2 linked regions of the Cricetulus griseus genome follow. The protein of the gene in region 1 purifies or fractionates together with the protein of each later gene. This does not show direct contact. Links are inferred from orthologs where the notes say so. Each region holds a gene or a part of one and is shown in the gene's direction. Other genes may lie near its edges.

What was found. Proteins that work in one complex are often made in the same cells at the same time.
Region 2: the proteins of Map4k4 (region 1) and Rap2c purify together in Homo sapiens (affinity purification with mass spectrometry; 3 studies listed by BioGRID and IntAct, counting the BioPlex papers as one, with this or other methods). This does not show direct contact. The link is inferred for Cricetulus griseus from reciprocal best matches to the Homo sapiens genes MAP4K4 and RAP2C.

The regions. Positions count from the first base shown.
Region 1 is NW_023276807.1:8,206,933-8,210,492, reverse strand, and holds part of Map4k4 (mitogen-activated protein kinase kinase kinase kinase 4), read left to right. Parts: intron 1-1,134; coding exon 1,135-1,221; intron 1,222-1,776; coding exon 1,777-1,995; intron 1,996-2,729; coding exon 2,730-2,891; intron 2,892-3,560.
Region 2 is NC_048604.1:18,930,352-18,934,441, forward strand, and holds the start of Rap2c (ras-related protein Rap-2c), read left to right. Parts: upstream 1-1,287; 5' UTR 1,288-1,440; coding exon 1,441-1,713; intron 1,714-3,967; coding exon 3,968-4,090. UniProt on the Homo sapiens protein: Small GTP-binding protein which cycles between a GDP-bound inactive and a GTP-bound active form. May play a role in cytoskeletal rearrangements and regulate cell spreading through activation of the effector TNIK.

The DNA.
Region 1 (3,560 bases):
GCATGACATAGGTGCTGGTCAATAGGAAGCACCTATAGAAACAGACCCTAATTCCATGGAGCAGTTTTCCCCTGTGCCCTTCCTTTGCTCCCCTTCTAAGACAGGTGGGTAGTTTTGTTTCATGTGTGGGGGTGGCAGTGTTTGTTTTTCTGATGAAAAGGCTTCTTGAAAAATGCTTTTGCTCTAGAGTGTTATTTCATATCTACCTCATGTTCCATTTCTCAAATGAAAACAAAAGTATACTGGAAGGTTGAAGGTATGTAGTGGGTCACACAGCTTGTCTTTGATGGAACTGGGGTAAGGATCTCCTGATCTTTTTGTCCAAATAGGATGTGTACAACTTCAAGTTTCAGTATGTTCCCACCTCTTATCCCTTCCTCAAAACTGGAGTTTGCACTAAGGACTTTAGGGATGTCAAGTTAGCGTCATCACCTCTGTGTATACTGCTTTATATGTAATTACTGCCTCCCATTGTGTACAGATTGGCCATTTTCTCCCACTGTCATGCCATCATCAGTCTGCCCATGCGCATGTGCCTGTGCACAGTACACAGACACACAAGCTCAGCACCAAGGGCCTGGGCCGATTTTCTTGTAGAGAAGTGCCCATGGTCTATGATCCTGATCATATCCTTCAGACTACAGTCATTCCGGGTGCCTTTGGAATCATCAGCAAGAACACAAATTTTGTTTGGTTTTTTGATTTTTGTCTTGTTTTGTTTTTAGATCTTAGACAGATTGGGGTTTTAGTGATTGTTTAAAATGATGCCTTTTAAGCAGATATTAACTAATAGAATCCCTTGATCCTAATTAAGCTCCTGTTTCTGTGAAGTCTGCCATGGTAAAAGGAAGACATCCCCCTTTAAAGGTCTATGTTGGATGTGCTAATAGTATCACGTACAGCAGTGCTCAGACACTGCCATGTGTGTGGCGGGGATGTCTTAGACTTCCTGCACTTCATTGGCCAGCTTGAAGCCTTTGCAAAAGTTCTCAGTAAGAGATTGCTTTTAGATGAGGTGTTCACTCTTTGGTGAGTTTACTGTAAAGCTTATTGGAGTAGTTCTTGGTTACCCACACAGGTGACTGATGCTTTCCTTCTGGATGTATTGACTGCTGGGTAATTTCTGTGTGACAGGAGTACATCAGGCGGCAGCTAGAAGAGGAGCAGCGGCACCTGGAGATCCTGCAGCAGCAGCTGCTCCAGGAGCAGGCCATGTTACTGGTAACGCCCCGCCCCGCCCCGCCTCTGTCCCATTCCCTAGCCACAGGGTCTGTTTCCCCCCTCCTCCCAGTCGGCCAGCTGTGGTGACTATCAGACCTTTTTGGTTTTGCTCTGGAAACCAGGTTCTAGAGAAGATGTCCTCTGTGGTCATGCTGTCAAGCACAGTGTAAACTGACCTTTGTTTCCCATTAGTAAGTTAACTACTCTTGTTTGGTAGATGCCTATCAAGTTTTAAACAGAACTTGGCATTCAGTGAATATGAAAACGCTGAAGGTATCAGGCTCACCATGCATGCTATAGGATTTTTGCTGAGTATGTGTGTATATATACCTCTGAATCAGATGCTTAATTGAATTCTTTTACTCTGCAATGATGTTTCAGTTAGAAAATGCTGTCAAATTTTACACAGGTAACATGCTATTTAAAATCCCAAACATTTGCCTTGCTCTTATACAAGAGGGGAAAGTGCAATTTAAACAAAAACCAAGAAGGGACCCGGAGAAGAGGTGAGCTCGCCAAGGTCCCCAGATTCAGTGTACCCTCTCCCTCTCCAAGGAGTGCCGATGGCGGGAGATGGAGGAGCACCGGCAGGCAGAGAGGCTCCAGAGGCAGTTGCAACAAGAACAAGCATATCTCCTGTCTCTACAGCACGACCACAGGAGGCCGCACCCGCAGCAGCAGCCACCGCAGCAGCCGCAGCAGGACAGGAGCAAGCCAAGCTATCATGCTCCAGAGCCCAAGCCTCACTTCGACCCTGCTGACAGAGCTCGGGAGGTATCTTCTTTCACTTGTTGCTTTAATGTTGGTCCTGAAAAAGCTCCGAGATGTTCCCTCGTGACTGATGAGAGCCGTGCTGTGAATGCCAGAATGGACCAGTAAAACCCGCCTTTGTCTTCCATGTGGAAGACATTTCCATTTCTCTGTTAACAAATATTAGAGGAATCAGAAGCAAAACTACACAAAAGGAATTCTTGGCCCCATCATCTTTAGAATGGGAATGAATAAGAGAAATGTTGGTCTGGTGTAAGACTACTGTGAGGATGAAGTGGACTTTTAGCCTGATTTCTTTGGATCACGTGGTGGTGCATTTGGTCACAGAGCCTCAAACTCTAGGCTGCAGCCAAGTGTTCCTCTCTGGGCTATACAAAAGGGCTTTGTTGCTTCCTGAGTACGGAGCAGTTCTGGCCTGTAGATGGCACCCTTCTTCTACATCCACTTTCACAGGGAGGAGAGTAAGGAAACAAGTTCTGTTCATAGTGTTAGAGTAATGAAACTGGACCCTGAGGCGGTCTTAGAGGCTGCTTTGCTTAATTTTCATTTTCATGACTTTTAAAAATCCTCTATCAAATCTTAGCCCTGCTTTATGCCAACCCCCAGCTGACTCTCTCTTTTCATGTAGCTGAAGAAAACAGCCTTTATCTTGATTGTCCTGCTTTTAGACTTTCTTCTTCATCTCTCCTTTCCCTACTAACATGGAGCTATCTATGTCTTCTAATTCTCTGATGCAGGTGGAAGATAGATTTAGAAAGACTAACCACAGCTCCCCTGAGGCCCAGTCTAAGCAAACAGGCAGAGGATTGGAGCCACCGGTGCCTTCCCGATCAGAGTCTTTTTCCAATGGCAACTCCGAGTCTGTGCACCCTGCCCTGCAGAGACCAGCGGAGCCACAGGTAGCAGCAGCAGCTGCCTTTGCTATGCTGAGGACGTGCAGTGGCTCACTGGGCCACACATTGTTCGTGTCATGTAGGAAAGAGAAGAGAATGGCTGTAGTTGGATAGCTAATGGAGGATATGCATTCAGCTGTAGGGAAAAGAGGGTATTAACTTAGATGTGAAGCCCCTCTTTCCTCTTTAACAAATGCCTTTTCACTAGGGTTTTAGAAAGTTGGTTTTATTGTGTAAGCATGTTTGAAGAGAAGCAGAAGCTCTTCTTCCTGACATTTTAAAGGAAGTACTTTACCCTTGTGGTCCCCAGCTCCCTGGAGGACCCTTGGAGGCTGAAGATGTCCTGTAATTCCATGCTGAATTCTATTTATTTGACCTAAAATGTAGATTTTTCTGGAAAAGTCTCTCCCCCCCCCCCCCAGATTCACAAACTCTTCAAGATTCACAACAGGTTATGACCAGTAGATTAAATACCGATTTCCTGGAGGAAGTCAGGAAAAAGGTTATTTATTTCCTTTCCTTTGGTCTGTACCATATTCTACCTTGTCTGAGTGGTCAAAGAGAAACTGCCCTGTTGTCTATACAGGAAAGTAGATGGCTGAGATGTCACAGGCTGAATGTCAGCCTCAAACCCTGGTTCTTGCTGTCTCCCTGAAGATGGTGTTTAGGTACTTC
Region 2 (4,090 bases), on another chromosome or scaffold:
GCATATATGACCAAGGCACCAAGTAAAAATGCCAGAGTCCAAATCAACTCTGAGGGTCGCTAGCATGCATTGCTCAGGAAAAAAAAAATAGCAAGTTAAAGAATTAGCAGCCACGGGAATCAACTTCCTAAACTGTTTGGTTTTTCTAGCAACTTCCAGCCCAGGGATGTTTGGTGTTTTCTGGGCTGCCAGATTATTGGCCAAGGAGGGAATCTGGTCCTCAGAAACAGCCGATGAACGCCTAGCAGCCGAGGGGACTCGGGCGGTCCAGTGGGCGAGAAAAATCAGCCAATCGCTCCTAGCGCCAAAGCAAGGGAGCCTTTGGTTTCAGTGAAGCGCCCTTTCTCAAGGCCATTGCCCGCCCTGTAACCCTGCCAGGCAGCCTGGCTCGCTCAGCAGGGCGCGGCCCTAGCGCCACCCGGCTCGCCCCGAAGAAGAGGTGGGACTTTCCCCACCGGAAGTGAACGCGTCCAGTCTCGGGGAATTGGGGCACCTCAGCCAGTGTGTCAGGGAAACCCTTCCGGGTTTATGCTGGGGGGGGTGGGCTGGGGGGTGGGTGAAGAAAAAAAAAAAGAGGTGGGTTCGGTTGGAGTCCCTGCCGCCGCCGCCGCCGCCGCCGCCGCTGGACGGCCCCCGCCCCTTTCCCGTCGTCTAGCATCAAGGCCGGGCGACCGGGTGGCCATGGCCTTGGCTTGACAGAGCCTCCCGGGCGGCTGGGGGAGTGCGGACGGCAGGGTAAGCGGCGGCGGCGGCGACGGTGGCGGCTCAAGGGAAGGAGGCAGTGGAGGCGGTGGCTTTGGGGGAGGTCAGACGACTCCTAACGAGCGCCCCTCTTCCCTCCTGCCCTCCCTCCCCGTCCCCCGTTACAGGCCCGACGACCCCCGCGGGAACGGGGGCGCCCAGAGAGCCCGCCCCGGCGGCGGTGAGCACAGCGGGGGTCCTCCCCCCCCCCCCCCGAGGCTTCGGGCCGGCGGCTCGGCAGCGGCGCCAGCAGGAAGCGGGGTCCCCCGGGCCCCTTTGTGTGCAGGGCGGGGGGGGGAGGGGTGGCGGGCAGCCCCCGGCCGCGAGGCCCCCGCCCCTTCCCGCGTGGGGGTGCGCGGCGGCTCCCCACCCTCGCTCGCTCGCTCTCGCTCCCTCGCTCGCTCCCTCGCTCGCTGGCTCGGCCGCTCGCCGGCGCTCCCTCCTCCCCACGCCCCCCGGGGCCGGCCTTAGGTTCCTATAGGAAGGGCATTCCCCTCCCATCCCCACCCAGCCGCCACCGGCCTCTCTCCCCTCCCCCTCCTGGAACTTCCTCCTCGGCCGGGGTTGGGCCCTCGGCTTCTCTGCACTCTCCTCCCCAGTTCGCACATTTCCGCCCACCTTCCGCCTCGTCTTGCGGCAGCGCAGCTAGCGGGGTGTTATTTTCCCCCCCTTGGGCAGGAGTTGGTGAAGGTGAGACTCATGAGGGAATACAAGGTAGTGGTGTTAGGGAGTGGAGGGGTTGGCAAATCTGCCCTCACGGTGCAGTTTGTCACTGGGACTTTCATTGAGAAATATGACCCCACCATTGAAGATTTCTACCGCAAAGAGATCGAAGTGGACTCTTCTCCCTCAGTACTGGAAATTCTGGACACCGCAGGAACCGAGCAGTTTGCCTCCATGAGAGATCTGTACATCAAAAACGGCCAAGGGTTCATCCTGGTGTATAGTTTGGTGAATCAACAGTCTTTTCAGGTAATCAAACCGAGTCTTGGAATTTCTTCGAAGGGGGTGTGGTAATTGTACATGTACTTCTGATTTGCTTGAGCTGTGTGTTAATAAGTGTGTTTGGCGTTCTAAAGTTTGGCATGGCACGGGAAGCACTGGGTTATTTCTGGAGAGAGTGCTAAAGGACAAATATTTTAAAGTTATTTTTAAGGGAAAGAAAAGTGAAAACGAAATGGGTCAGCTTGCGTATATTTAGCCGTCGCTATAACCTGAAGTTGCTTATTCAATTCAACAAGTATCGATTAACGTGCTCAACAAAACATTTCATAGATAATCTCAAGCAAATGGAGCACGAAGAAAGAAATTGTTAAGCCCATTATCTCTTACACATAGATAAAAACCTGTGTGCCTGGTTTTCCTTCCTCCACTTCTGTTTGCCTCTAAGTTCCTCAACTGGAATCCTAAATCTCTGCTGCAAAATGAGTACAAGTTCTGTTTTCGTGGTATTTTACTTGGGGGAATGCACCGCAAAGGAAGTTACTAGTCTAAAAGACTAGGACCTAGGATTCATAATCAACAGAAAGTAAGAATGACCCTCCTTTTCTCTCGTTGATCCAAATCGTTTCTGCCATCGTAGCCTATACTTAAAGAAAATATGTGGAACTGGGAACGCTGAGCACGGGCAGATTTCTTATCCCAGTGGGGTAGCCAACCTGGATCTGGTCCAGTTGCTTCAGAAAATCCGTCCTGTCTTTTACTGGGAAACAGACTGAAGTTAACGTTATTTTAAGAGATGCAGTAATTGTGCTATTTATTCTTTGAAAATAGATGACCTTATATTGACCCGTTAATATTGACTACCATTGATTTAGGAAACAGCTATTTTTTTTCTGCATTTAAAGGTATGCACTCAATGTTGCTTACTTAGGGAATCTTAAGTGCCTTAGCCCGTGTAATGTGCTAGTTTCACATTCTTCAGGAGTTGAGGGTAAAGTGCTATATCGGAATTTTTCCAGTAACCTTGTAACAACTTCAAGAACTTCTTTGTAAGGATAGTAAGTTCTGGGTAAATGAATTCAAGGATGTTTTAGCTAGATAGAAATTCCAAACAAAAGTACCATAAAAGCATTTCCCCCAGGAAGTACTAAGGGTATTTTCTATCTAGGGGATCCTCAGGAGATTTGTTTGTTATCAGCAGATTCTCCTGAGGCTGGAAGTCTTTGCAGTGTGTTTCCTAAGGTGTCCACTGAATCCACTTCTGTTATAGACATAAATAGGGAATATGGAACTATGGCATTATTGCAGCAGAGTCAGATTCTTTTGAGGCGAAAGTTGGTATTCTTAGCTAAACTTGTTCCATAAGGAAGCCCAGAAAAGCAGCTTAACAATTCAGAGAAGACTGAATTGGTACATTTGACCTGGGTGTGAGTGTTCTGTTTACTGTAATTACCCAAATGCAGATTTCATATTTAAGTCAACTCTTTTACAAAACTCAAAAAAAAATGCGATGCTGGGCCTAAACCTATAATATTGTCTTATATCAATTCAGTTCTCTCCAAAAATTGCTATCACTGAAAACCAGCTAGGATTCTTACCACTATGAGAAAAATCAGTAGGGAAGCAATGGGAGAAGAAAGAAATGTAGCTTCTCATCCAGACTCCAGATGCATTGGCCACAGTTGTTGACATTACAAGGCTAAAGACATAGTAACCAGTTTAAAATGAAATATTTATGTGTATATCTGTTTCCAAAAATGGATTTGTAATTATTAAAATGGGTTTTTTTTGGGGGGGGTTGTTGCTTTTGGGGGGGGGTTGTTCCCTCTTAAAACACTTTCTCTTAAGTCCTCTTGCTAAATGACTAGGAGTTACTTACATGCTGCAGTCTTGTGCTGGGATAACAGGTGTTACAGGAGCGATGACAAGTAGGCAGCTTTAGGGAGCTGGCCAAACATCTGTATGTACAAATGGATGAATCATATTTGGGGACTTGATTCTTTAATTGAACTAGACGGAGGGTGGGGGGCAGTGGTTAGATGAATTTTAAGGTGAGTGCGCAACTTGAATCTTATATCCCTGATGCCAAAGCACAGCTGGTGCCTGTGGAGATGATCTAGTTCTCACTTCCGTAGGGGGGGTACATGACATTGTTGTCGTTATTTAAGTATGTGGTTTTAGCTTTATATAATCACCGAGGAATGATTTTTGTGATATTGTAACACGTCTGCTGTGGAATGCAAACATATAATTGTGTTCTTTCCCTTTGTGATTGCTTGAATAGGATATCAAGCCAATGAGAGATCAGATTGTGAGAGTGAAGAGATATGAAAAAGTTCCACTAATCCTAGTAGGAAACAAAGTGGATCTGGAACCAGAAAGAGAGGTTATGTCTTCAGAAGGCAGA